2 linked regions of the Cricetulus griseus genome follow. The protein of the gene in region 2 interacts with the protein of the main gene of each other region in a pairwise test. Links are inferred from orthologs where the notes say so. Each region holds a gene or a part of one and is shown on either strand. Other genes may lie near its edges.

The links.
Region 1: the proteins of Tfap2a (region 2) and glutathione S-transferase omega-2 interact in binary tests that used the Homo sapiens proteins (3 or more experiments, as listed by UniProt). The two-hybrid records come from large-scale screens. The link is inferred for Cricetulus griseus from reciprocal best matches to the Homo sapiens genes TFAP2A and GSTO2.

Annotation. Positions count from the first base shown.
Region 1 is NC_048596.1:13,628,730-13,643,806, reverse strand, and holds the start of glutathione S-transferase omega-2, read left to right. Parts: upstream 1-7,677; 5' UTR 7,678-7,751; coding exon 7,752-7,785; intron 7,786-8,037; coding exon 8,038-8,146; intron 8,147-10,410; coding exon 10,411-10,633; intron 10,634-11,456; coding exon 11,457-11,558; intron 11,559-15,077. UniProt on the Homo sapiens protein: Exhibits glutathione-dependent thiol transferase activity. Has high dehydroascorbate reductase activity and may contribute to the recycling of ascorbic acid. Participates in the biotransformation of inorganic arsenic and reduces monomethylarsonic acid (MMA).
Region 2 is NC_048596.1:260,408,328-260,423,404, forward strand, and holds the start of Tfap2a (transcription factor AP-2-alpha), read right to left. Parts: upstream 7,708-15,077; 5' UTR 7,626-7,707; coding exon 7,575-7,625; exon of another isoform or gene 5,211-7,574; intron 5,061-5,210; exon of another isoform or gene 4,163-5,060; coding exon of another isoform or gene 4,136-4,162; intron 2,848-4,135; coding exon 2,413-2,847; intron 1-2,412.

The sequences.
Region 1 (15,077 bases), about 250 Mb from region 2:
CACTCTTAATCACCACTGAGTCATCTCTCTGGTGATTTCTAACTCCTTGCAAACCCCACAGTAGACAAATAGGTGTCTCATATGCCATGCCGTCAAGGCCACACCAGCCGGTTCAGAACTGAACACTGGATAAGCAAAGGGTGACATACTTCCACTGAGAAAGGTTAATCCTCCTACTTTTCCCATGAAATCACCTCCATAGGAGAAGGCAGTCTGGGAGCCCCATTGCATTTGTGGCTGCTTCTGAGGTTAAGTGAGGCTCTAAGGTGATGGCAGAAGGATCTGGAAAACGCATCCCGGACGACCTTACCAAGGAGACCCACCCAATCGCCTGGTTTTCTGACGTGTTTTCAGGGTTGCCAGGGAGAATGTCGGGGTGATTCGTTCTTAAGAGCGCATAACAATCACCCATCGCTCAGCGTCGCAGCCTTAGCCTCACAGTGAGGTGGGGCTGCACCCTGGGGAGCCGGCTGACTTCACAAACGGGACGACCAGCGGGCTCGCTCCGGGCGGGGCCCCTGTGCCGCAGGCCACTGCCAGACCCTGCGGCTGCTCGCGGCCTTCCAGGAGGATGTGAGGGGACCAGATGCTGAGGTGCACCGCCTGCACCCCACTGCCTCTTTCCGTAGCCACAGACATCAGGCCGGGCCGCCTCTCTCCAGCTAGCGGCGGCAACGCGGCCGCCCATTGGCTCGCTCCCCCAAACGCGTCTGGTATTGGCTGGAACTCAGGGCTCGGTGGCCAATTGCAGAGAAGATCCGCGCGAGAAGGGGTGGGTCCTTCACGTCTGTCTCCCGGCTCTACCCAACCAGAGCAGTAACCATTGGAGGGTTCCTCGGGGCCCCTCCTCTGCCTCCGCCGCTGGGGGTCCAGGCTCGCCTGCATCTTGTTGGAAGGGAAGAGGATTTTGAGGTCAATTCTGAACTTTGGGAGCTTATTAAGTTTGGCCTGTCAGGAAATGATTGCCAACTTTAAATTTTGCACTTTCTATTTAAAAGAAAACCCAAATATTTAACCGTAGGTTATATTTCATTTTCTTAAATTTCCACAAAAAGCAGGGTAGGGGCAGAGGGAACTTAGAACATAGAACTAGGGCAAAGAAATAATTAAAAAAAACAAAAGAATCGGGTGGTGGTGGAGACGGTGCAAGCCTTTAATCCCAGAACCCAGGCGGCAGAGATAGTGGGTCTTTTGTAAATTCGATGTTAGTTTGGTCTACAGAGGGAGAGAGCACCAGAATAGCCAGGGCTACACAGAGAAAGTGCAAAACCCAAACCAAAACAAAATAGAAAAAAAAATTAATAATCTAAGAACAAAGATGGGGTCTTTAAGCCAGACACTTGTAACCAAAGTTGTTTTTATTTTCGTGTTTGGGTGAAGACTGGCAAATACTATTTCACAAGATAAGTTCTTGCCTTCAGCTTGGCATTAATTGTTTTATGTTTTCTGATGAGGACACAAGCAGGTGGGAATTTCATTTCTTCCCTACTACACTTAAATAATAGTAAACACAATAGCAACTAATGTAAAAAACTTGCTAGATGGCAGACACATGGTAAGTATTAAATGTTTACCATACTGATCCAAATAAAATTTCTCAACCATATGGTACTCTTCTAGAATTACAGGGCATTAGGATGTCAGGGTGTAGGAAACTTCTGTTATTTGCCCAGGGCAATGCAGCTATTGAGTGCTGAAGTGACTCAAATGTAGCCTGTGTTCATAAAGTTAAGGCTGCTCTTGAGATAAGAGTATACACATCTAAAAGCTCTTACTCAACAGCTCTTACATTTAGAGATTAAGCCAAGACAGACTAATATGATCTATTCCTATCAGAGGATTCCACATTCTCCAATTGACTACCTTAGAATAGAATAGAAAGATTGCATAGGTAGAGTATGTTCAACTTCTCATGTCAATATTCCCTAAGCAATACAATGTAACAACTGTATTGGAAAGTTGTTGGAAAAGTTGGAAACTTCTGGGAGGCCTTTCAAGTAATCTAGAAGTGATTTGATGGCTATGGGCGGATGTGGTTAGATTATTTGCATACTCTACCTCTTTTTATATAAAGTTTTTGAGTTGCCATGGAATTTGGCATTCATAGAGGGCCCTGGAAGTAATTCTGGATGGATACTGGGGAATGGTTTGATTCAGATCCACCTATTTGGTAACGCCACTAGCATGGTTTGGTTTTAGCAGGAGCTGTTGATGATTTTGCTTGAGTTTACAAACTTTATGTCAGAATATTGAAATTTTGGTTTTGATTATTCAAACATTATCAAGTTGTATAAATGTGCTCCATGTTGTAAAGATAAATAGGAATAGGGAAACAGAAGTACTTTAAAGAAAGTCCCCTTCCACTCCGTTTTCCTTAATTGGAAGGGAAAGGTCCTCCTGGGGTAACTTCAGTAACCTGGTTTAATGTTTCCCAAAGTCAGCTTCACCGGGACAGGAGACTCCCTGTAGTCCTCTCTTCCTGCAAACCTGGAAGAAAAGCAGTTGTGAGAATAGAGCCCTCTCCCTCTTCTGACTCCAGGAATTCAGTGGACAGTAATGGAACACCCAGCAATGTAACCTCTCATGTCATGTGGGCTTCAAAATAGAGGAATACAATTTCTGAAATAGAGGAATATAGTTTCTGCTAATAATAGAGACTGGAGTGACTTTTTTGTTTTTTACCTCAAGCCAGGTATAGTGGTGCACATCTTTAATCCCAGCACTTTGGAGGCAGAGGCAGGTGGATCTCTGTAAGTTTGAGGCCAGTTCGGTCTACCTGTGGACTTTCATAACAGTCAGAGTTATATAGTGAGACCCTGTGTCAAAAAAACAAAATAAATACACGCCTGTATGTGTATGCGCACAGCACACACACACACACACACACACACACACACACACACACACACACACACACACACACACACACACACACAGAGAGAGAGACAGAGACAGAGACAGAGACAGAGAGAAGAAAAACTCATTTCCCTCAAAACGAACTGAAATAGAGTACAGAAATTATTTCCATTCTGTAAACATGTAAATCTTTGATCATCATGATCAAAGAGTCCTGTGTTCCTGGTTCACAAAAGCATATCTGTGGCTGGGGAGATGGAGATGGCTGGGCAGGTAAGGTGCTTATAGAGCAAACATAAGAACCTGACTTCCAGCCCAGAAGCCATGTACAGGCTAGGTGTATTGTAACCCTGTTCTGGGGAGGCAGAGGTGGACCTTTGGATTTCAGGCCAGCCAGCTCAGCCAAATCAACAAGTTCCAACTGTGAGACCCTGTGAGATCTTGACTCAAAAGACCTCTGGCCTCCACATACGTGTTTACACGTGTGCAAATGCACCTCCACACACACACAAACAGTGGATATGATTATATTTCAGATGCGTGGAAACTTTTTTGGAATAGGTTTCTATGACCTTATTATAATTATTTTGCGCTTGAGTTGGTCAATATAATAGTGATGTGAACATGAAATAGCATAGAACATTTGCAAAAACATATTTAGCAGCTACCTTCTGAATCTTTACGAAGAAGTGGAGAACAAGCTTAAAGGTCATAATTAAAATCCTTCCGGGAAAACTGTCATGATCTTTGCTGAGATTAAAAATCACATTCCTGAAATGTACCCTGCAGCATTCAACACATTCAGCCAGCAAACCAGCAAAATGAGTGTTGTGAGTTAGATTTTCACTCTGATACACCTGACAAAGCTCAATTGTGATGCCTGTCTTCTGTATAGATGCAAAATGGGAAGGTACCATGTGTGCTACTAAAATGCATGCTTATTCATTAGTATTTCTCTTTAACTTTGAGGTACATTGAGCTAAAACTCTGAGGTCTGCATGGTTTCATTCCATACTCAAAACCATCATGTACCTACCATCATCTTAAACAAGGAAAGTGGAGATCAAAAAGGCTGGGGATTTTGCCCAAGTGCCAGAAAGCAGGTCACACAGCCCAGGTGGTTCCAGCTCCCGTTTCGAGAATTCTGACATTTCACTGCTTCCCATAGATGAAGAATGCTTCCCACCGCTGTCCTAGCCATACTAAATGGACTTGTATCTCAAAACTTGACCTTCCATATACAGGCATACTTTTTTTTTTCTTTTGAGACAGGATCACTATGTAACTCTGATTCACCTCAGATTCGCCATGGTGCCTCAGACTGTACCACCACAGCTTTCTTAATAAATGACATTTCCAGCTCTCACATTTAGTTTTATTTAGAAGGAGAGAATCATGAGGGAAAATTGGAAATACAGCCTTTTCTGGCATAATAGAATCTCTTAATTTGCAAATGGAATTCTCATTCTATTTTTAGCTCAGCCATTGCAACAAAAGCTATGAATGACCAAATTAAAACCACTCAGGCTAACTCAGGCCAACTGCTGAATTCTGTGCAGCTCAAAGAGCTAAGAATCTTTTCAAAAAAGTAACCGTTTTAAGTAGCTGGAAATATCAAAATATAAATCATAAGTCGTAATGTAGAAATCACACAAAAGTGAGCCACCGTGGACGGTTTGTGAATTGTGGACTTGGAGTGACGTGTCAATGTATGTACATGTATCGTAACAAAGACACCGCTCTGATGGAATGTTAACAGTACAGGAGGCTGTGTGCGGAGCTTGCGGGAATATGAGCTGCCTCTCTGTTATGCTTTATAGTGCTGTGAACCTAAAGCAGCTCTAAAAGTTATAGGCTATTAAAACATATATCAAGCTCAGAGACCATAAGTAAGGGTTTATTGGTGCACAGCTGTGCCCATTCATGGTAAGAACTGAGCAGATGAGATGTGAAAAGCCTTCAGTATTCACTCCATGGGGAGAAGTTTTCTGACTGTCCATTCCACGGCATCTGCTACTGACTAAGCTACTGGATTAGAATGATGTCCTCAGAGTTAAAATTCTTCTCCTCTCTTCCAGTTACCATTTAACAAGTGCTTGTTAGCACTCACTCATCTTTTGAACGGGATAATAAGTCCTATAGGACTACTTACAGGGCCAGTTTAAGGGTTAAATGAACTATAAAGCACCAAACAGGTCAGTAATAATCCATTTTGATTTTGAAAGTCTGCCTTTCTCTTATGCCTTCCCTTTTAGAATCTGGGAGTGGCCGGGCGTTGGTGGCGCACGCCTTTAATCCCAGCACTCGGGAGGCAGAGGCAGGCGGATCTCTGTGAGTTCGAGACCAGCCTGGTCTACAAGAGCTAGTTCCAGGACAGCCTCCAAAGCCACAGAGAAACCCTGGCTCGAAAAACAAAAAAACAAAACAACAACAACAACAAAAAAAGAATCTGGGAGTGTTTTCCTCAATCACCTGCTTTCTTTATGTGCAAGGTGAATGAAAAGAGAAAAGAAAAAGAAGGACATGACAGCTCCTTAGGGAGTTGAGGTTTTTATTATAGATGTCAGGAAGAATACAGTGGAGGAGAAACATCTGGGAGAGCTCAGAGTGGATGTAACTGGAAGACTGAGTTGGGCCATGTGGGGAAAGGAGAGTCCTGGGCTGGTAGAGGGCAGGGGATGCCAGCCAGGACCCTGCAACAGGAAGGGACTGAGGCATTCAGGAACCTGGTGGTCAGCATCCTCTTTAGTCCTAATAGGTCCTCAGTCCTTGGTCCTGAGTTTGAGACCTAAGGTACCTTTGTTTGCTCAGAAGCCGGCTCCTTACCCCGCCTTACTTAGCACAGCTTGGTTTGCCCCTTGTTTCTGTTTTACCCTCAAGCTTGTCCTTGATCCAAGTTAGTTCCAGGGAAGTAGTTGCCTGTGACTGCATCTGCCAAAGTGAAAGCATCAGCAAGGCAAGGCGGGGTCTGCCTTAACCGTTACTAGGTTTCTGTGGCACCTACGTACTTCCAAGCATTGATCCAGGCCTCCCCCCAACCCCTGCTCCCCACCATTCCTAATTCCTTTATGGGAGCTATGGATGAGGCATTCCCTGACTCCCTTATAGGAGCTATGGACGAGGAATTCCCTGACTCCCTTATAGGAGCTATGGACGAGGAATTCCCTGACTCCCTTATAGGAGCTATGGACGAGGCATTCCCTGACTCCCTTATAGGAGCTATGGACGAGGCATTCACTGACTCCCTTATAGGAGCTATGGACGAGGCATTCCCTGACTCCCTTATAGGAGCTATGGACGAGGCATTCCCTGATTCCCTTATGGGAGCTATGGACGAGGCATTCCCTGATTCCTTTATGGGAGCTATGGACGAGGCATTCCCTGATTCCTTTATGGGAGCTATGGACGAGGCATTCCCTGACTCCTTTATAGGAGCTATGGACGAGGCATTCCCTGACTCCCTTATAGGAGCTATGGACGAGGAATTCCCTGACTCCTTTATGGGAGCTATGGACGAGGAATTCCCTGATTCCTTTATGGGAGCTATGGAGTTTGGCATTTAGGCTTAACTCTCACAGAATCACTGGATTCTTGACTAAAACTGTGGTTGAATTTGTTCTGAAGATTTCAAAGATTCTTATTCTGTAGAAAAAATACTATTATTAGCCAAGACATTCTGGAGAGGTGAGAATTCCAAAGGCCCAGAACTGTCCATCTTCTAAGCCCTATGACAAAGGTCTGCTATTTTAATGAGAAATCAGACCCAGCAATGAAGCTGCCATTATGCGCTGTATGTTTTTCCAGACATAAACTCTCTGCTGTTGCAGCCCAGTCTTTGGATTTTTAAAATTCTTTGATTCTATTAACTGTTCACTTTGGCCAAATTATTTCACTTTTCTGAGGCACTTTTGTAAAAGAGTAATAGTGTTGAAGACATGACACGGACGTTTGGGAAATGAGACACGCAATGCTTTTCTGTCCTTCCTGTCACTCCATAAAATGCATTTGCCAGCCATTTCCACGTCATCTCAGCCTGGGAAGTTAAAGGAATCCTTATTTCCCCTGCTGGAATTCAGGCTCTCAGCTTAAAGTGTCAGAGTCAAGGCCCGCTGCCTCCTAGTCTCTTGTAGACGGGAGCTGGAGCTGCGTTGTTGAGCTCTGTCCTTGGAAACTATAACACTTCCGGGGAAAGTCAGGCTGGAGGTCTCAGAAGCGACTCTTGGCCTTTAGGGTCTCATTCTTATTCACTGCCAGCTTTTCAGAACATGGGTAGAAATCTCACAAATAGATGGTCAGGGACTGAAGCTGCCTGCCATTCGCTTTCTGAGTGATGCAGGGTCTCACCACACCCTAAGTCTTTCGTCCCATTTGCCAAACCGTGAGAGAGTTTGGCCTTTTTAGCCGAACACGTTATACGGAAGGTCTGGCCAATTATCAGCTTAAAACAAAGATGTGTGATGGAAAGGAAAAGTTAACATTAGTACATTTTAAAAAGTTAAGATCGGTAAATTTTTATTCGATGCCTTTGAAATCTACGTGGGGGTTTAAATGTCCAGTCTTCTTCGTGTGGGTGAGCACCATCCCCCATGCTTTCCCCCTTGTGTCTTAAAACAGGAAGCACTTTGGGGGGAGTGGTTTGGGATTTATTGTTTCCCTCGCCCCTTTATGGACTTCCACGTCTGGGGCGGTGACTGGGAGGGGGCTAGATTATCCTAGCTCCCACCCCAGGGGTCCCAGTTCACTTCCTCTCTGCCCCACCAGAGTGCTGTTGACTGTTGAGAAATTCAATTTGGGTCTGGAGGGAGCCCAGCTGTACGTGGAGCCAGCAGCAGCAGAGAGAGCCACAAGGCGGCGACTGTGAGCTTTTGGGTACTGCGTAGACTCTATGGAGACTGATGTCTGGGGATGCGACCAGAAGCTTGGGGAGAGGTAAACCTTCGAGACTTTTGTAACCTTAGACTGGGGGAGAGGCCTGATGGGGCTGCCCTCTCTGGACAGGAGTAACTAAGCCTGTAACCGACTTGGACGGCTCATCCCCTGCACAAACTATGTGCAAGTGTCCCCTCTGGAACTTGAGAGGCTCAGTTCACAGAGTCCTCTGCAATGCCCATGAGGTGAGCAAGGCCCCTCCCCACAGGGCTAACCAGATCTCCATCTTTTCACCCCTGCCCCGCCCTGCAGGCAGCAGTCCCCCAGGGCCAGTCCCTGAGGGTGTCATCCGAATCTACAGCATGAGGTTCTGCCCCTACTCGCAAAGGGCACGCCTGGTCCTCAAGGCCAAAGGCATCAGGTGAGAAACCAAGGCCAAGTGCTCCCTGAGCACGTTGCTCACCCCTCATCTGCAGGGACTTATTTAAAGTCTTGGGCTCCTAGAAGGGCTCCTCTTCCCTTTCTTCTGAGGCGAGTGACTCCAAGGACTGATTTTGTGTAGGCTTTACTGAAATGCTGAGTTCTTTTCCAAATCAGATTTTCATGAACTTTTAGACGAGGCAGCCAAAACTGAATGATGCTGTTGGCGAAACGGTCCCCACCCACCCACTGTTTGTTTAGGAGGGGCACAGTTAGTAAGGGCTCACTGAGGCCTCCTAACTGCACCAACACGGCCTTACTTTTGCCCTGAGCAGCTTGGATTAACTGCTCTATTTCTTTATGGTGCTTAACCACGTCTATCATTTCCTCATCTGTTCCATCTTTCTACCTCCTCTCCCCCTCTCTCCCACCCCATGGCAACCATACACAAAAGGAGTTTAAGAGAGGAAGGAGGGCTGCCATGTTGGGTGCTAGAAGAGAGCCTGGCACTCAGTAAGTATTCAAAAGTGTCTGTTGGGGATGTAGCTGAGTTCGTTGGAGTGCTTGCTCAGCGTGTATGAGGCACCGGTTTTACACGCAGTGACAGCAAGAAACCAAGTGTGGAGGAACGTCCCTATGATCTCAGAACATAGGAGGTCGAGGCAGGAGGATCAGAAGTTCAAGAACGCTCTTGCTTACATACCAAGTTCCAGGTCAGCCTTGGCCACATAAGACCCCGTCTTATACACAAAACTCAAGTGTCACTGCAGCCTCTGGCTCAGGGCTTGGGAAGCACATCATAGGATTTGGCATTAGACTTTTAGTTCATGTCATGAATAGAGAGACCAATATGGAGATGTTTTAAATAAAAGCTGTTAACACTGCATTGATTCGTATGTATATAACATACATTTGCAGTTGTTCCTGCTGGCTCAAATCTATCTATATGGTTACCTGTCCTTTTTGTTTGGTTTTAGAAAAATAAGAGCAATACAATATGTTGCTCATTTGGGGACAAACTTATAGTTTAGGAACTGAGGCAAATGTTTCTGGGGTTTTGTTGCTTGTTTGGAGACAGGGTGTGATGTAGCTCAGGCAGACCACAAACTCACTGTGTGTCTGAGGATGACCTTGAACTTTTGGTCCTCTGACTGGCCCTCCACAGTGTTGGATTTACAGCAGTGTGTCACCATGCCTGGCTGTGTGATGCTGGGGACGGAATCCAGGACTTCCTGTAGCTGGGCAAGTACTTTACCACCTAAGCCACAGGCCTGGGCCCATAACTGATTTTTCAGAGTGGAGTTCCTCAACCTTAGCACCACTGGCTGAATTTGCTGGGGAGAGGAAAGAGGACTGTCTTGTGCATTCCAGGTTATTTTGTTATCCCCACCTTTATGTATTAGGATGGTACCCCACTCCCAGGGTGAAGATCAAAGGGTCCCTAGATATTGATATACACTCTTTGCATGGGGGAGAGGTAAAATAATCTTGTTGGGAACTCCCACTTTGAAGAATGTAACTATTTGTTTCCTTTAATCTTTATAAACTGCTTGTGCCTCTGGCAACTTCCTGGTTTTGAACCTCCAATAATAATGAATAGGGGAGGACTGAAAAGTGATTGCATGCTAATTAATATACTATATCTCCCCCAAACACTACACATGCTCGCTGTTTTAACATCACAGTGATGCCAAGAGATGGGTACAGGTATTACCTCCTTACAGTTGTGGACACTGAGTACGGAGAGAAGGAACTGACTAAGATCCCAGCTTGACCATACAAGTTTGATGGCGGGTTTGCGATCTTAACTGTTAACATTCACCAATGTCTGTTATAACCTGTCAATACACATTTGCATCTTGGTGGTTGTTAATGCTTGCTTTTGAGACAGGGTCTCACTGTGTAGCTCAGATTGTTCTCTAACTAACATCCCCCTGTCTGGGTCCTGTTGAGTCTGTGCCTTCAGGCTTTCATCTTTCAGCCATGTGGCCAACGCATATGGAATCAGTCAGCCTGGCTCTCATCTTGCCTCAGCTGCTTCTGAGGAGATGATGTCTGGCCTGAGATTCAATCACAGGAAAAGAAAAGCCATGGAAGACACCTAACACCTCTGCAGAATGAACACACGTGTTACATATTTGACAAAAAATTCCTACATCCAACAGCTCTAAGCATGAAGGTTACAGCTGTTTGTTTTCCAGGCTGAGTGTCTTCCTGTATGTGTCTCATTTCTAGTTTGTCTGTCTTTTCCTTTCCCTTTTTAAGGCATGAAGTTGTCAACATTAACCTGAAGAACAAGCCTGAGTGGTACTTTACAAAACACCCTTTTGGCCAGATTCCTGTCCTGGAAAACAGCCAGGGTCAACTGGTCTATGAATCTGTCATCGCTTGTGAGTACCTGGATGACCTCTACCCGGGAAGGAAGCTGTTTCCATTTGACCCTTATGAACGAGCTCGCCAGAAGATGTTACTGGAACTATTCTGTAAGGTAATTTTACTTTGTGTTTCCCCAGCTTCCATCCATTCTAAAGTCAATCATGGCATAGTTTGAACCGTGAGCCTCTGAAGAATAACTCAGATGGGGTAAGAGTCAGGTGTGACCAGCGACTTTCAGAGTGGGAGGCAGAAATTCATGTGGCCAGAAATGGGAGTATTGAAACAGCTGAAACTAATAAGCCTCTTACAGGAGCATTTCTCAAGCATGTGTGTGGGCATGTGCACACTTGAACACACACACAAACATACAGGAACACACAAAATAAATACATGAATAAATGTTTAAAAAATAAGATTCAGAGTGAGTGAGGAAGACATGCAATGTTGACATCTGGCCTACACACACACACACACACACACACGAGTTATGTACTCAACTTAATGATATTAATAGTGTTAATTATGCTATTAATCAATGACATATATTGAACACTCAGGATGTTCCAAATCATCTCTATTGATTCCCTCCCTTGACTGCCCCGGGAGGGGGTATTGTTGCTGGAACCATTTTTCAGACAGGAACACTGAGACTTGAAGAGGCTAAATGACTGCCTTCCTCAGAGTGTACAGCATGGGACTAGATGATCAAGCAGTGGGCACGGAGAACCCTGCTAAAGCCCTCTTGGCTTGATCAGATGCTGTGAGAAGTGGTTCCTGGAAGCACAGAGATGACCCAGGGCCTCTTGCCAAGGATGTGGACATCTGCATGTGGCCAAGTCCTCCTGTGCTGGAGCTGGGAAGCTTCTGTGCATTTCAGTCAGCGTGGGGACAGTTTTCACAAACACCTCCACTAAGAACCTGTGTCCTCTGACTAGATCCCACACTTAACCAAGGAAAGTCTGGTAGCGATGAGATGCGGGAGAGAGTGTACGGATCTGAAGACTGCCCTGCGTCAGGAGTTCCGTAATCTGGAAGAGGTACAAAGGAGCATCCTTCCCATCAGAGGCGAGGGACCACGCCATGTGTAGTGTCTCTAACTGAGACACCCTGACGTCACCGGCTTGCAGACTTTATGCCCAGCTTTGATGTGATCCCTTTCTAGTTGTCTGACTGTGACCTGCACATGCTTGCATCCCTGACCTTTCCTGAAAGGACCTGAATTTGTCCTTTCCTGGCATTGTGTTGTTCCCTGAGATTCTCTGCATGGTTTCTGCCGATGAGGCTGAGGTATCGGCTGGTGGCCGTGTAGGAATTGTCTAATGATGGTTTAGTCTCTCACATTACAAATCGGGGGAAGCAGGGGAGTCCAAGGCTGTTTCCATGCCTCCTCACGAGGTTGTCAGGGACTGAAGCTCATCTTTCTGTCCTGTCACATTTAGTGCAAGGTTTTCATCCTTAAAAACAAGATGGCTGCTGGGTCTTCTGGCATCACCTTCTTCTTAGGCTCTAGCTAAGCGAAGGAGAGAGAAAAGCAGCAAATGCCGGACCCTCCTAAAGGACTCACCCAGAAATGCCGGACCTTCTTAAAGGACTCACCCAGATTTAGTTGTCAGGTTGTGACAGTCAGCAGAGGAGGCTGGGAGATCTATCTTTTAGTTGAGAGGAGGCTGGGGAATTTATCTTTTAGTTGAGATACCCCGAATAAAATCAGTTTGGTGTATTTTAGAAATGGAAGGTGCGTGTGGATGGACGAGCAGTCTTTGCTGGTAGAGTTGCTGTACCAGGACAATCACGGAGCCCTGCCACCCACCCCACCCTGCGTGTGCTCTGTGGGTCTTTGACTTTCTTTACCTTTGGTCTAGAAACCAATGAATTCTTTTTCTGTGTGAGGTTGCTTCCCTGCTGACAGCCAGAAAACTACTATCTTTATCTCTTTAGAAGAACTCTAGCTACTAACATTCTTCCATTTGACTTTATCAACTAAAAGCAGATTAAATTCATACACACTGTTTCCTGTTTTGGAGTTGTACAATTGGAAGATGAATAATAAGAAATACTAACTTTTGTCCTGAGGTCTCAGACTCCAACGACCCCGAGGAGGTGATGGATGTCATGATTTTAAGTGGGGCTTTGCTGGGTTCCAGGGTTTTGAGCAATAGGAAACCTGGGGGATGGTTCCAGAACTGTTTTCACCCACACCAGCACTGCGTTTAGTCACAGTGTTGAAGAGGGCATCTAACAAGAGCCTTTGTCCAGGAAGAGCACAACTTTAAAAGAAGTCATTGAAACCTCTCTGAATAGAGAATTTTTAATGTCTCTGTGTTTGGTGGTGGTTGCTATTGTTTCTTGTTTTTGAGACAGGGTCTCACTATGTTGCCCTTGAACTCATGGAGATCTGCTTGTCTTTGCCTTCCAAGTGCTGGGATTGAAAGTGTGTGTGAGCTAAGACACATGGGGGTGGGCCTAGGCCTTATCCCAAAGGATACGATAGACTCTGATGACACCCTATGGAAGGCCTCACCCTCCAGGGGGAGCAGAAAGGATATGTGATAGATAGGGTTTTAGTTGGGGGGGGCTGGTAGGGGAGGACGGGAGGGAGAGGGAACTGGGATTGTCATGTAAAACAATCTTGTTTCTAATTCAAATTTAAAAAAATTCTGGGAAAAAAAAAGAAATTCCTGTCATCACCCCCAGCTTAATCTCTTTCTCTTTCACATTCTCTCTCTCTCTCTCTCTCTCTCTCTCTCTCTCTCTCTCACACACACACACACACACACACACACACACACACACACACACACGGTCATCCGAACTAATCCCATCCTCTCTGGTTCCTTTCTCATGATACCTGAACACTGGGTCAGATTAAGGAGCTGAAAACAAACCCCTGAATTCGGGGGTCACTGACAGTACATTTTGGTTTTTCTTGCTGCTCCTCTGCATGAACCCAGGGAGTCGGGATGCAGGCATGACTCTTCTCTTCAGTTGGGGCTCTCTCTCAGGACAATTATGCCAGAAGTTTGTGCCACACACTATGGTGTAGTGCTTTGTGTACACTTACTCCTGCTCACAGCATCCTGCTTAGGCCAAGATCACTCCAGCAAATCAGGATGGCTGTGAACTAACTAAGAATGCAAACATAAAGATATCCAGAGGTTTCGTGACAGAAATGGAGGTCAACCGTCAAACTCATTTTGAAGCAAGTGTTGCAATTAAAACAACACAAAACAAAACAAAAACAAAACAAAACGGGCATGCCAGAGAAACACACCATGCAACAGAACTTGGGTCGAGGGTGTTTTTGTTTTTAACTGGAGGAAAGTGAATGGGAAAGGGAGGAAGGGAGAAGGAGACTGGCCTCTGGGGACAGGAGCAACAGAAGAGAAGAGAGAGAGGGGCAGAAAGGCGGGGGGGGGAAATGACAGACAGATAGACAGACAGACAGGGAGAAAGAGTGATGGGAGGTGGGCAGGGCCCTTTTAAAAGGGAACATAGTGAATGTGCACAGGTGGTGTTCTTAGTGGCTGCAGCTGAGGGCAGATCCTGTCAGAACCCCAAGGACAGGCCAGTACAGAAGCCTGAATACTAACAGCAAGTATGTGGAGTACTAGTCTGGAGACACACGGAAGAGAGAGCTGTTGTGTGTAGGAGAGCAAAGAATCAGGGCACAAGGCAGACCACAGACAGAAGCCTCCCTCCCACCCAAGGAATTTCCCCTTGATCCCGAAGTCAATGTGGAGTAACTAGCTAGCAGTGTTAACAGAAAAGACAGGAAGGTATAGCCAGCAGGGTGGTGATGAGTATGTCACAATACTCCCTGAAAAAGTAAGTAAAAACAAAAAAGAACCAAAACCCCGATTTTATTTGTAACATTTGCCCATTTCAGTGGTGGAACACCTCCCAGCAGGCCGCTTTTCAGGTGCTGCCTCTGAACCCCCTTGGGAAGAGGTGTGGCCAGTCGGCCAGCTCCAGTGCCTCACTGAGCAACACTTTTCTCTTTGCCTTTAGCCAGGGCCTCAGAGCCTTGGCTCTGGTAGTGCCACCCACGCATGTAAGGACTGCTGAATGTTCAGCTTTGTTTTGGTGTCTTTGGGTGGGAGTTTTGTTCCATTGTGTTAGGAAGAGCTCTAGACATCGGAACCTCAAACCATCGGGGTGGATGTGAGCTCTAAGAGCAGTTCCTCCAAATAGTAATATGCGGACTCCAGGGCCTAGGGCACACAGTCTGGGGGATCTAGTGAAATTAAAATAATTACCAAATAATCTGACAGAAATGCCCCTTAATTCACACGAACATTTTTCTCCTGTTTCTTTCTCTTTTTTTCCTTTCTTTCTTTCTTTCTTTTTTTTGATAGGGTCTTGTAGTATAGCCCCAGTTGTCATGGAACTTACCATATTCTTCATGTTGGTTTTACAAGCAGGATTTTGTGTGTGCTAAAAAGCTATTAACACACATGATCTTTCTGAGGGACAAATAAGCTGATATTCTCTCTCTCTCTCTCTCTCTCTCTCTCTCTCTCTCTCTCTCTGTGTGTGTGTGTGTGTGTGTGTGTGTG
Region 2 (15,077 bases):
CCATGAGTGTGTTAGAATCAAAACGTGATTAGAAAGTAAAATGAAATCATGTTTTCTAATGCAGAAACTGACAGGCAATATAATGTCTGGCTGTGTTTACAAATTAGCACCAGGGCTGCTGAGAGGGAAGATTTCGCAATCGTTACCAAGCACAGGCATTGCCATTTAAAAAACTATTACTTCCTTCTCTAGTCTTTGTCCAACAATAATACTGATTCGAACATTTTCCATTCTGTCTTGGATTTATGCTCCTGTTAATTGTGCCTGATCGCAATGATTCCGGGTGGATGGTACTAAGTTGCTTTATTACAGGTTTTATTATACTCAATGCTCTCATTTGTAACTTGCCTAAAGTGCTTCTGGATTTAAGTATAATTAAATTGAGAAATGTTCAGAAATGACTACTGCTGCAGTTCTTGTGTTTTAACTATATGGGGAAATATGATCCCTTTATGCATGCACCCTAAACCCATAAAGTAAATGTAGTGTGGCATAATACTTTTATTTCTGTTATTTCTAGCTAGACCTTGTCCATACAGGGAAGACTGTTAAGTTTAAAACCCCACTGAGATATTAATGATTAAACAATTTTCACCATTGACTTGATTTTCTTAAATATTTAGCAGTCGTTCTTATTAAAAGTTAAATGTGGCAGCAATGAAGAAATTGAAAACAACCCTATTCCTGACCCAAATTCCTTTGAAGGATTTTTTTTTTCTTGAAAGGTGGGGGAGGGGGAGAGGAAGAGCAACTGGGTTTCTTGCTTTTATATGATCATTTGGTTAGTTTCTCCTACCGATCAATTGCATCACAGAGTGACCACACAGGTATCAAGAATTCCCAGCAGCCTCATGCCATTTTTTGCAGAAGACCTATTTCCAATACACAGCAGTTCCAAAAGCTTAAGATATTATTTTGCTATTAGTGTTTCCAAAGAACAGGCAAAGAAAAGAATTCAGGGACTCTCTGAGAAAGAAAACTAAAATCACCATAATTTCTAGTTCTGTTCAAAATTGCTTTTATAAAATATTGCCTCAAATTCACTAGCCACAGTTTTCTAAAACCATACAAATATGAACACATGCGCGCGTTCATGCGCGCGTGCGCGCGTGCATGCACACACACACACACACACACACACACACACACACACACACACAATGCTTACTGAGCCTTGCATTGGACCAAGTGCCTGCCTTCCTGTGTTTCATGCAAGGCTGTTAAGCATAACCAACAAATTTCGGTGATTAACTGGGCTAAATGAGAGAGGTAATAAATTTTCTATTTTCCTGTAGAACTTCAAGAATGTTTTAAATCTGCCAGGCAATCAGGTAAGTTCATGTGGTCGTTTTCCTTACAATCTAATTCAGCAATCATTAAACTGTCAACAGACATACCACTGCTATATTTGATGCAGTAATTTGAAATAGCATTTAAGCAAAAATCACATCCAGATACATTTCCTTTCCAAAGAAAAGTACCTTTAGCAGAAGCCTTTACAGCGATAAAAAAATATATATATTGGCTTGCTCTAATTCCATTTCAGGAAGATTGTGAGAAAACCATAAATTTATAGAGCTGAAATTGAGGTGCTGGTTGCAATTTAATTTTAAAAAGTATTTTCAAATTATCAATGGCCTGAGTTACATTGTAAATAGTACATGTGCTGAGGTCGTCCTTATTTAGAAATCATTTGAAACTGCATTTATTGATAACTGAATTAGAACTCAACGCAGCACCCAATAGTATCCAAACATTTAATTGAATATTCAGTGTAGCAGCTTCTGATAGGCGTTGGGAACCTAGCTAATGATTTATGAGGTCACCACTTAGCACCCCCAGGAAGAGAAGAAAGCTGCATTTTAATGTCCCTGTGCTTGGATTTGCTACTTGTTTTCCTTTGATCAGGATAGGGGAGGCATAACTTCTGGGTTTCACTAATGCTTATAAAACCCGGTTCAAGGACCTTTTCCCTAAGTCTCTCGCACTTTCTTTTACTTTGTGAGATAGTTTAAGGAGCTCTCTGGGCTAAATTTAACCACTTTCCTAGAACAGCGAGAAATCCCCACGACACATTCAGCAGCGGAATTAAGTCCCGTGTCCCCCCCACCCCTCCCCCCAATCTACACAATTTATTGTCACGGAGAGAAGCTGCAGAGAATGGTGACCATCGCCTGGTTTATTTCTGTTGGCTGGAAGTGGTGACCCAGGCATTGTTGAGCGAGCTCCATGAAGCATTGTTCTCAATTAGTTTTTCATTTTTAAATTCAGTTATTGAAGTGAGTGTCACTTCCACTCCCAACTATTATTGAGGAAAATCAAGGCCCTGCGGGCCTGGGCTCCAGGAAGCTTCCGGGAGGGCAGGTGAGCCTAGGGCTGCGTTCCCTCCCCGCGGCCCGCACCGCCTCTTACCGGGACGTCCTCGATGGCGTGAGGTAAGGAGTGGATCGGGAGGTCCCCGAGCCCCGAGCCGAGCCCGTGTGGGCCGTGCAGGAGATCCTCGTGCCGCCGGTAGTCCCTGCGAGGGTCCAGGCCCGACAGCTGGTGGGGTAACCCCCTGTGCGTGTGCAAGAGCCCAGACTCCTGGCTCTGCCTCTGGCCGGGCCAGCCCGGGTGCTGCGGCTGCGGCTGGGCGTGCAGGGGGTTCAGGCTGTAGGGGTCGTTGACGTGGGAGTAAGGATCTTGCGACTGAGGGTAGATAGGCTGGTAGGGCGGGGGAAAGTAGGGAGGCTGGAAGTCGGCATTGGGGGTATGGGACAGCGGTGGGGCGCTGGTGTAGGGGGATTGACCTACAGTGCCCAGCTGGGGCAACCTTGCCGTCCCGTTGCTGGTGCCGTCGTGACGGTCCTGGAAGAAAGCAAGACGAAAGGGAAATAGTGAGAAATGAGGCGCAGAGTTTTAGCTACCCCCATTAAATCCATTCGGCAAGCCAATGTGGGGAAATCACCCGTTCCCCTCTGCTGGACGCCGGGGTAGGGGTATCAGCTCTACATTGTTAGCATTAGAAAATACCCCAGAAGTGAAGCAGGCCTTTTCAAAAAAAAAAAAAAAAAAAAAAAAAAAAAAAAAAAAAAAAGCAAAGAAATCAGAATATGTAAATCTAGGGGCACAACAGACTCTCCCAGATATTCCTCTCAAAGGGGGGCAGGAGATGTAAAAGGGCGTCCTGTAGTACAGCCCCAACACCCGCAGTACCAAACCTCCCTTAAGCAAAATTCAAACATCCACTAAATATTAAACAGAAGCAGCCTTTGCTGTTCCCGGATTTGAACCTGTCTGCCACCGCGTTATTGTTTACTCTTCCATTAATCTGGAAGGGAAAAATCATAAACCTTCAAAGACTATTTCCATTCCATGACTATTTAAATAGAAACATGTTTCGCACAGGGGCCGTAAGAAAGCACACATTTAAATTACCAGCTTAAAGATTTGAACTGCATGGTTGAGGTGGGGGTGTCTGTCTTTTCCGCTTCCTCTGTTAGGAGGCTTTTACACGGCAGGGTCGTTTTATGATATGAAAGGGGAGTAAGGAACGGGGTTTAAAATAGAAAGATTCTGCCTTACCCGGTTCTTTTAAAAGAAAGAGGGGCACCCCGGGGCGGAGGCCCCCGCCCCTTCCACCTCCAGCCCCAAAGGGCAAAAGAAACCCCTCACTTTACATTTCTCTATTGCAATCCGCTTGCAAAGCAAGCCAAGAGTGGGTTCCAGAGAATCGGAACCCTCCAAGGTTCAGCCTCAAGGCCCCGGGCTAGGGGACACACCGGGGTGCGCCTTTCACCCCCCACAGACGGATTAAGCATCGGATGTGGAGAGCGGCTCTGGAACAAGTGAAGAAGACGCAAGGAAATAAAGACGAACCGGGCGAGAAACTGGCCCAGGGAAAGAGCTGCGGGGTAGGTCTGCGTGCGCGGAGAGGTCCAGCAGGGACAGGGTAGTGGCGACGCGTTGGATTTGAGGATGGAAAAGAGCCAGAGAAAAGAGGAAAGGGAGATAGGAATGCAAGTGGGAGGAGATGTCCACAAGGAACCCGGGCCGAGAAGCCCTGGATCTGGATCTCAGGCAGTTTCTCGGCTGCGGGTTTCGGGATCAGAATTCCTAAGGAAACAGGGATGGGTGGGGGTGGGGTGGGACTCACCATAGCTGAAAAACTGTGAACTAACATCTGCGAAGAGTCTGGGGTAACCAGTCAGGGTGGAAAAAAGCAAAAACAAACCCCCAAAACAAAAACCACCACGCCTCGAGCACCCGGCTGCCCGGCGGCCCGAGAGAGCCCCACACAAAAGGCTCCGAGAGCCCCGCGCCACCCAGGACTCCAGTCACCGCGCGGACGCTCCGGCGAGCGTCGGAGCCCGGCTCGGATCCATCCGAACTTGTACCACCGAGTCGCGCGGCGCCTTCAGCTGGTCGAACCCACGATCTCTATCCTGCCGCAATCGGTTAGGATTCAAAGTTCTTTTAAGAAAAACGAAAACAACAACAACAACAAGAAAAAAAAGCCAACCAAAAAAAAATACAAAAAGAAAAAAGAGGAAAAAAGTATGTGTGTGAAGTGTGTGTGTGAGTGTGTGTGTGAATGTCCCTTAATCCGTGTCTCCCCTCTTTTCTTAGCGGCGGCTTCACTTCAGCTTCTAATAACCGCGCTGGGCAGCGTTCCTGGAGCCTCCTAATAGCAGATATTCATGACTATTAATATTACACGAATACTTAATAAGGGAAGAATGCCTGGAAATCGAGCGTGAAGCGGAGAGGCAACTCGCGCCGGAGCCGGCTCTCAATGCAGTCATTGACGGGAGTCTCAGTGTAGCAAATCGGAGGTGGGGAGAGGGAGCGCGAGAGACAAAAAGCGGGCGACGGAGGGAGCGGGCGAGCGTGCGGGGGGCCGCGGCGCGGCGTCTGGCGAATCACAGCGAAGGGGCAACATTTTAAAAGGTTGCAGGGCCTGCAAAAGTGAAAGAGAAAGAAGGCGAGAGGGAGGCCGAGGGGCGAGAGCGCGACGAGGGAGGATGTGTCTGCGTGCGTGTGCGAGAAAGAAAGTGTGGGCGACCAGAGGAGAGAGGAGTGGAGAGAGGGGGGAGGAAGGAGGGAGCGCCGGGGAGGAGGAAGGGAGGGCAGGAGGGAGGGAGGGAGGAGGAGGAGGAGGGGGCCGAGCCGGAGCTGCGCAGGGGGAGCCCGCGGGGGAGGGGGAGGGGAGAGGAAGCGAGGGAGGACAATCGGACCTAAAAGGCTGGGGCAGACCTCGGAATGGAGCGGGGGTCGCTCGCCGCGGGCTGGAGCTCCCGGGACCCGCGCGCTGCTGCCCACCGGGTTCTGCGCCTGGGAGGTGCTTCCCGCCGCTCTCCGGCCGCGGGATTCTCTGCTGCGCAGCGGGGCCTGGCACTCGGGACTCGGCTGCCCGCTGCCGCGCTGTTCCTCCATGACCAGGCGTCCCGCCTGGGACCAGCCCGCCCGCTTCGCCAACCCTTGTCCTCCGCCTGCTCACGAGCTGCCTTCCCTAGGACCTCCGGGCCGTGCGCTCCTCGGCTGCGGCAGTTCTAATCTCGGCTGGTCCCTGGACCCGGTTCCGGGAGCTGGAGCCCGGACGCGGCCCCGGGCGCGCACAGACGCGAAGCGGCCCAGCCTAGGCGCCTCTGGCAAGGGCTCCCGGCTCCCGGCACAAACCCGTCGGACTGGCTGGGCCACTCCCGCCGACACCCTCTAGATGACAGGGCTAGCTCTCCCCGCGCGTCGCCACTGCCAGTCTGCCCGCCCGGTTGTCGGAACAAGCGGCACCTCGCCTCTTGCGTGTCCCTGCAGAGCCTCGGCCAAATCAGACAACTCCAAGCCCGCTCGGAAGCTCGAAGTCCTGCCCTAGCGCTAGCTAGCCCGCCGCCACCAAAGTTGTTGAAATTGCCCAGACTTTTTTTTTTTCCTCTCCCACTCCGTTCTCATCATTCTCCCCCCCCCGCCCCCCCCGCTCTCGCGCACCTCCAGAGTCTCTCTGGGGGTTCAAGTTCATCTCGCTCCCCCTCGAGACCCCTTCGGTGTGTGGAGCCACGCGAAGGTTATCAACCCTCCCACTCAGGGCGCCGGCACCCAGAACCGAGTTTTAGGTTCCGAGAAAGTGAAAAATCACCAGGCTTGAGAGGGAACTCAGACCCCTCAGAAATGAACTGCTCTAAGAGAGGCTTAGTGGTGCCTAGGCCTATCCGCAAAAGGCACCCTTAGCCTTGAAAACAAAGTGTCTGGTCCTACGAGGGCTTCCCGCGCCCCTCGAGGCACGCCACAGGAGCCCCAGAGAAGCGCAGGTACTGAGGGATGTCACCTGGTGTCCCATCTACCAGGTTGGGGGTGGGGAGGGGTAAAGGGGGAGCCAGAATGAAGAAAGATGTAAAATAGTATTCAAAGAGAAAAGGGGAGGGAGTGGGTGACATTTCGTTCACACAAACCCAGTTCCTGATTTCAAGTGAAGACAGAATTCTTGTCTCTGCACCCGCACACAGATGCCTCAGCCAGAATCCCCAGCTCCAAATGCCAAAAGGGAAAGAAAAAAAAAAAAAAGCAAAAGAAGAACAGTAAATGTCAAGGCTGCCATGTATTTATTTGGATAATCACTACCCCTCCATCGCCCCATGCACTCATCAGCTCCTTTCAGCAGGGTTTGTAAAAGCAAGGTTGAGGCCGTCTCCTGCAAGCAGTTGGTTCTTTTCCTATGCCTCCCTGGCTGTCCCAAAAGTCATTCTCTGGGGTCCTGGGTTTTAAAATGTATTCCCAAGGGGAGCGCTCTGTGGTCCCAGCGGGCACTCGAAAACCAGAGGTGATCGGCAGTCACACCAGTATTCTCAGGGTCCCGTGGCTAAGCTCCGGCCGGCACAGGGCGATTCCCCGCCCCCCCCCTTCAGAGAGTACGGTAGTGCATCTGCACCCAGCCACCACCATGGGTGTGTCCACCCTGTAGCTCGGCGGGAGAAACTGCTTAGAACTTCAAGGAATATAGGACCTGAGGAGTGAGCCCATAGGCTGACGTGAGGGCTCCCGAGCCGAACCCGCTTTCAGGGAGGTGCTGCCCAGGTCTGGGCGAACTGTGTGGGCCCTTCTCCAAATGCAAGAAGGGAACCTCTTTAGAGAGAAAGGAATGAATGAAAGAAAAAGGAATATTAATCTCAGAGAAGAGGTGAAAGGGGAAACATTTTCTTTTATTTTTTCTTCCTGCTATCGTAGATACCCCCAGATTCTTGCTCAAGAGATACCAGAGTGCACTGGCACGTGCCCAGTTGCCAACAATTGTTTTAAAGGAAAAAAAAAAAAAGCTTATCTCTTCGTTCCACTCTCAGGCAAAGCCACAAGTAAGAAGGAAAAAAAGGGGGGGAGGAGTGGGACATGGGCTTCAAAGGACAAAAGTGAAACAAGCAAGACCCATGTACACCCTCTCCAGCTTCTCCCCGGCGCTCTTCGGGCGAATTCGAGGGGCGGGCGCAGCGCTGGTGAAAGTTTGTTCACCAGCATTTCGCAGCTAGCTGCGTGGAGAGGAGGAGGAGAGGGAGGGTCGATCTCCAAGCCTGTGGTCGCAAGGATGACTGAGCCGGCGCCGCGCTTACCTCACAGTCTTCGTACTTGATATTATCCGTCAGTTTCCAAAGCATTTTCATGGATCGGCGTGATCGGATTTGCCCCTCTGCGCCTCGCACCCCAGCGGAGCTACTCTCTAGGTTAGCGCAAAGTGCGGGCTGCGGGCGGTGAGCACAAGAGGAGGAGGAGGAGAGGAGGGCGAGGAGGAGGAGAAGGGTAGGAAGGAGGAGGAGGGAGAGGAGGAGGAGGGCCAGGAGGAGAAGGGCGAGGAGGGAGGAGGAGAGAAGGGTTAGAGAGCTCCCGTGTGCGCTCGGAGATCTCCCTCTAATGGTAGAAACTTTTCCCTTTTCCTGCTCTTCACCAACAGCCTAATCGCCTCATTAGCATATCAACAATAGTCCAATTGCTAGCCAGTACCACAATCTGCCGCCGGCCGCTCCGACCCAGGTATAAAGGCCTCTTCAAGCCGCGAACTTGCTCCCAGAGCACACGCCTGCACGCTTGCAAGCTAGCCCAACAGCTAGCCCAGAGCTCCAGCACCGTCCCTAGCTCCAGCGGTCCCTTCCCCGGCCCAATTTCATCCCTTTCCCCTGCGCCTGTCTACGGATCCTGCCAGCCAAAGATGCCTTGGATAAAGCTTGGTACTACACAGGGTACTGGCGGCGGTGCCAGGGGACCAACTTTTAGTACACCTCACCCCTGCTACTACATCCGCCTCTATCCGATCTGCCTTTCGTCCCCATCCGATTTTATTAGAAATCATTATCCCTTTCGCAATGAATCGTAACCATCAAACCAGGACCAGCAAAGTCACTCCAGGATTTTTGTCCAACTGGAGATCGCCTCCGCTCACGGCTGTTACCCCCTCGGGCTGCAGCGCCCTGGGAGTTTTATTAGCTTTGCGCTTTCTCCCCAGGTTGGAGATTCTGCCAACCGGCTCTGGTGGCTCGGTTGGGGTTTGCGATCTCTTAATTGCTACGTGTAAAATAAAAGTTGTACCCTGAAGAGGTTACTCGACAGCTCCGGGGGTTAAATGATTTTCCTCCAGTTTGTGTGAAGCTGGAGCGGACTGACAATTCGTCGGGGTGTTTGGACTGTAAGGTTTTCCAGGTGCAACGTGGACAAGAACACGGAATTTTGGATGGATATATATATATATAGCTGCTTCTGGAGTTAGCCGAAAAGCAGACCTATGAGTACTTGAGACTCACTCCATGCCGTGTCATGCGTGCATCAAAATAAATCATTGGGAACTGACTCTTCCTGTGCTAATCGGCTCCGGTTTTCCCAAGATTCTCCTTTTTAATTAAAGAAGGACGCGATCCTTCATGGTTTGATGTTAGTAACGCTGGCGCGTTGGCGGCACAATGGCCAGCTGGTGAAGAACCCGAAGGAGACACCCCCTTACCCAAGCTGACCACTCCAGGCTCCCCAGCTCCCCTCAGGGGCTTACTCACTCCACCAGGGGACCCTTCTTCCCTTTCAGCAATTAAAGTAAGAAAAAAAATCCAAAGACTTTAATGTGATAGTTTGATATACAGGGACTTCTCTGGCTGACTTTCCCGCACTAACACTCTAAAAATATTTTCCTCTTTCTCCTGTTAATTGTGGGGAACTTCTCAGCAGCAGCAGATAGCCCTCAGAGACCTCTGGTTCATTTGTTTTTGTGTTTCTCTTTTCTTTGTTTTTCCCCTCGCCAAAAAAAAAAAAAAAAAAAAAAAAAAAAAAATCTGTGCCCCACCACCACCATTTCCAGAGTGAATCCATCATGGGACTGAAGACTTCATCAAATCCAAGCGTTCAGTAACAGGTGGGAGAAAGAGAGAGAGAGAGAGAGAGAGAGAGAGAGAGAGAGAGAGAGAGAGAGAGAGAGAGAGAGAGAGAACCACTCTCCACTCAAAGCCGAGGAAGGGCAATTCTTCCTTCTCAAGACCCTACCTAGCTAAGATACAGCCTCCTTCCGCCAAACCCAGAGACAAGGCCAGAGGTGACAAGGGAATTCAAAGACCCAAGGCCCTGAGGACTCTCTAGAGATGGCTTCTCACATTTAAGGAGTCATTTGGCTGATGGCTCTAGAAGCTTGGCACCCCACTCTGTCCAGAAAACGCTCAACAATCCAAGCAAGACCCCGCCAGGTTTTCCCCAAGATCTGCTGAGCAGCAAAATGGCTTGAAACCTGGAGCTCAACCTCTGGGAGGGGCCAGTACCTCCACTTTCCCAGAGGCAGCCGCAACCGGGTGCCCTATGACCTGTAGGCCCGCTCCTTAGGCCTTAGAGCATGGGTTTTTGCATCCTGAGAACCCGGACTTGCCAGGGTGCTTGAAGGAACTCTTAAGTTTCGCTTTCTTTTCCTTCAGTTGTGACCTGGGAAAAGGTGCTTAAGGATTTATATCCTCTCCTACCGGACCCTCACCCCCTCCTCTTTCCTCGCTGCTCAGTGCCCCGCAGATCTCTGACTCAAAACCCAGTTAAGGGCTACTAAACTGTTGTTATATTCCCGCCAGGGGCACCATTGACGTGCAGATTGGGGCCTGGCAGCTCTGTGCCGCCGCCGCCCGCAGTGCAGTGTGGGCTCTGATGAAAAGGCTGGGGAGAGCAGTCGGGTAGCCCCTGAGCCAGGCGAAGCTAACGAAGCTAACGCTTGCATGAGTTTCATTACCACGATTCATCTCACTGCAGTCAGTGCTACATCTGGGCAGGGGCCCTGGCTCCCTGGGCCAGCAGCGCTGAGCCTGGAGTTAGGGCAGGGGCTGTAGGCCTGACCTGAGAGAATGAACTACACTGAGAGTGACATCAAGAAAAACAAAGAAAACACAAGGGCCAGGATGGGTCTTCTGTCTGATCTTCAACACCCATTGGGTCAGGGATGCTCAAGTGACCAAGCCTGGTGGACTTGGTCCTGTGAGACTCAAAGCCACTGGCGCTCACCCCCCAGGTTCTGGCTCCTGCCACTTGCCAAACTACAAGGCTCTCAGCAGCAGGCCCTCGGATCCACCATTCCTTAGCTATGGGAGCTATGGGTGGCTTTCAAACCATATTCTGCCTCACTGGAGGTCTGGCTCCAGCCCCAGGCGACCCTGGGTGGTGAGCATCTTCTCATGCCCTGCAGAGCTCTTCAGAATTTAGTGGTAACTGCCCCAAGCTTCAGCACCCAGAAAGAGAGCTAAGCCAACATGGTGTGGGGAGAGAAGGGAGAGGGCTCTAGCATTTGTGATTGGGGTGGGCCTTCCATCCTTAAACAAAGCCAGTCTAAGTTTGAGGAAGGAATATTATTTAGTAGTTTTAACTAGAGAGGGGGTATAAAAATATCCATTCAACAAATAGAAGTAATAAATATAAGAGGAAAACAAATACAAAACGTGTTCCTTTTTCCAACTCTTGGACATGTAATGAAGACAACACCTCTCAGAACGTTTAAGGCTGAACTCTCAGGCAAAAAGAGAAAAAGGAAGCCAAACTCCAGGGCCTTGCCCTGGGAGGAGCAAAGCTTTCAGCTCTGGTTTTTCTTTGGGAAGGTCGAAGCCTTTAGTTCAAATTGCCCCTTAGGCTTGTGGCTTACAGAATCTCGGTCTAACCAGGCCTCCGTTGGCTGGGGCAAAAACAGGGCCCCGCGGTTCCTATTATGAAATGCCCGACCGGGGAGAGGCAGCGTGTTCCCTCAACCTGGCTTGAGCCGCCCTTGTTTCCCTGTAAGGAGAGTGTGTGGAAGCATGTTCCCTGGGCGGGGGCCGGGGTCTCTGGGTCAGGAAAGGCCAGACCCAGTGCCTGTCCGCTCTGGGGTTTCTGCGGCCTAGCAGGGTCACCTTTGGCAAACTCTAGTACCGAAAATTGTTATCTTACTCATCACCCCGCAATTCTGTAGTCCAAGAACAGAAAACCCACTCTAGGAAGCCGATTGAGCGAATAGCTAAACTTTGGACAAACTTTTTTTTTTTAAAAAAAGTGTCTCTCAAGAAAACTTGCTCCAGGCTATATCCAGTCATCCGGACCCCTTTTCACCCACCCCAAAGGTACCCCAAATGAAGGGATAGCCAACCGGACAGGTGCACCAGAACCTCACCGGGACGCGCAGCTCTGGGGTCTAAGGGCTAGGCAGGCACAGCCTTGGGGAACCCACACCTCCGGCCCCGCGTCCCTCCCCACTTCTTAATTAGTCATCCACCTAAGTTTCTGTTGGGGTAGGAGTGGGGAAATGGCTGGAGATCAAACCACAAGTGACCCTAGGGGCCACCTGGCCACCTGTGGAACGTGCGCTGGACTTTTTCCGGACTCTACCCCGGAGGGCGGCACGCTTGGCCCCCAGCACCGAGGCTGTGTAGCCTGCTCTAGTTTATCCAGTCTTCTCTCTCCTGGGAACACTCTTGGGCGCTGCCAGGCGTGCCTCATCTAGGACTCCCCTGCCCTGGGCCACGGCTCTTCTCCGCCTCCCCACTCCCGGCCCCCTCCTCCGCTCCACCCCCGCCCACCTCAGCCCCAGCCAAGGCAAACCCCCGTACCTGCCAGTCCCCCATTTTGGCAAGTATGGACATTGCGTCTCGGCGCTCCTGGCGACGGGTCCCCTCCGGGCATGGGCTGGAGGGCTCTGTCGGGCCCGCTCCCTGGAATCGCTTAGGCAAATCCTCCTTTTTTTACCTGCTCGCCAACATCTCACCTGGTCATAAAGAGCTGGGTTGCTACCTGCCGACGCATGCGCGCTGGCCTAGGAATTCACTCCGCCAGCCCCAGTCCCAGCACCTCTCTGTGCTGACCTGGGAAGTGATGGATTTATAGCCACGGCAATCTCACCATCAGCTCCAGCTTTTCCTAACAGCCCTAACCCGCTTTCCCGGTCAGTCCCTGGCCAGTGAACCGAAGCCAGGGACTGGCTGCTGAAGGTTGCTGAGTCCCACGCGGGTGTGAGCGTGTGTTTGAGCAGTCGTGTAGTGGCTGCATCTGCAAGATCATTCCACCTTTCCCTTGCCCCCCGGAACTTTTGGGCTAGAGGAGGGGGGATGGGTTGGGGGATGGGCCAGACCTGGGGAAGGCCCAGATCCAGAGTCCCGGCACACCTGGAGGTTAGCAATGGGACAGGGTCCCCGCCCCCTCCTCCTCACCCGCCCAGGAGCTTCAAGGCACAGCCTGCCTTAGCGGATCTGACTGCCACCCCCAGGGCGGCCTCGGCGGTGGATTCCAGATCAAATGTTGCTCAATAGGTGAAGAAGATATTCGCAATTCTGCCTCATTTCTGTCTCCGAGATTTAGTCTCCTCCCAGGGGCAGAGGGGTCCGGGGGAGAACCACAAACACACACAGATGCTCTTTCACAGTGGAATATTTAACACTTAAGTATATAGCCCACCAGCCCACGGTTCGTGGTCCCATCCCCATGCCCCATAAGACTTTCAGGCTCTTTATCTTTTTCATTAAAAAAAAAAAAAACTTTTAAAAGCGAGAGTGGGGCGTTGATGGCTCTGGGCTGGGCAGCTGAGGTTTAGGGTTGGGGTTTGCTTTCCCATGACAGATAAAATCGCTCAAGTGACTTCACTACTGCTTTAATTAGAGGGGAGTTTAAAAGAAGCCACAGGATTTGGGGCTCCCATCTTGCTCATCTCGGTCAGCAATCACACCTGGCCAGGAACGAGGCGAGGAGATTGGCCCGGGGGTGGGCGCTCTGCTCCCACAGAGAACTGCAGCAACCCATTTCCCCAGGAACCCAAGAGATCTCGGGTTGTACTGAGTGAGCTCAGGCCTGGAGCACTTGGGACAGCAGACTCGGTCATTCTCCTGTGGCTAACTTGGGGAGGAACAAAGAACCCGTCTGAAACCATTTCTCAGACATGTCAGCAAATATATGTAAAAGGTCAGCTGCGAACTGGAGAGTGGAGAAGATGTCTCCACCCCAAAACTCCTCCTTCCTACCCTAGCGGAGGCCGGTCTAGATGGTGCACCCCACTTGAGTGTCAAGGGGAGGAGTGCTGGTGTCTCTCCTTGGAGTCCCTTCAGTATTTTAATCGTCCCTTAATCTGCTGGCCTTTCATCTCAGTGCCGATTTTCTACTTGATTGGAAACTTTCTTGGATCCGTCTTAAAACCTTGCTCAACAAGTTTGGAGTTTGTTTGTAGGTGGAGTTTTTGGGTTGTTTTCCCTTTATTTTGTTTTTGGAGACAATTAATAGTCAAATTGTGTTTTAAACTCATGAATGCCTACACTGAACCCTCCTTGGTTTTTTGTTTTTGTTTTCTTTCTTTCTTTCTTTCTTTCTTTCTTTCTTTCTTGTTTTTTTACAGGCTGTTGAAGAGTGGTGAAGAGTGGTGAAACCTAGTTTTTTGATCCAAGACGCACGTGGAGCCAGTGTTTGCAGCTCTTTGTGCTTCCCTTGGGGGGCGCTGTGCTCCTTTACAAGTGAGCAATGGTTACAGATCCGTCAGCCCTGCCGTTCCCTAACACAAAAGGAACCATCGCGCACTCCCAGAGTGGGCCCGGCCCGGCCCTGAAACACCAAACAGGATTGTGCCAGGGCTGGGGTGGAGCACGAGGAGATTCATCTCCACCCTAGGTGTTTTTTGTTGGCGAGCAAGGCGATGCCTGCAGGAAGAGGCAAGCAAGGCCGTCCGTGGTGGTGTGTACAAAGCCAATTGCTGCTCAGAGCGGGCAGGGAAATTGAAAATCAAAGAGCCTGGACCTTGGGAGGGAGAGTCTTGGGGATCCCTCATCAGAAGCTGGGGGGTGGAGAAAGAAGATCGGAGAAGAGAAAAGATCAGGAATTTAGCTTTCCAGTCAAACTTCAGAGCCCTCTTCAGTTCTGCACTTCTCACTTGCTGGTTGAGTGGTCTCGGGCAAGATTCTGAACTTACCTGAAACTCGGTTTCCCTATTTCAAAGTGGGTAATTGGTGAGAATTCGGGAGAGGAACCTGAGAAAATCTCTTTAGCAAGTCACATATCCTTCCATGAGCACTGGAGAGGCTACCTGGCTCCGACAAGGAGGTCCAATCCTAGGGTTCCAAACACGCCTTGGATTCATAGCACCCAAAACCAATTCAGTTCAAGAAAAGGTCAGCTCCATTTTTTCACCGCAGACCCAACAAGGCTGAAAGGTTTGTCTAGACACTTCCCGGAATCCCCTCCCCAAAGTCCAGTCCATCCAGACTTTTGCTGACTCCTGTTCCCCAGACACCAGCTCCCAGCCTCACAGCCTCTCCATGGTGTACCTCCTCATCCGTCTTCGCCTGTGGCAGAGAGAATCAAACATCTGCAGTGCTCAGGACAGGACCTGAAGGGCGGACCTGAGCCGCCTCCCGGCTTCATTCCGAACCTAGACTTAGGGCAACCCTCCCAGACAGACAGCAGTACCCAGTACTAGAGCCGCTAGGCTCCGTAACTAACAGGGCCTTACGACTTAGCACCAGATTGCAAACTTTCTGTGCGCTTTCAGAACACGCTATCTGGGAAAGGCAGAAAAGATCGAGTGACAGATGGCAGGCCACTCCAGGTGCAGGTAGAGTTGAGTTGGGGCTCTGCCAGGCCTGGAGTATCAGATACACAGGAATCCATTT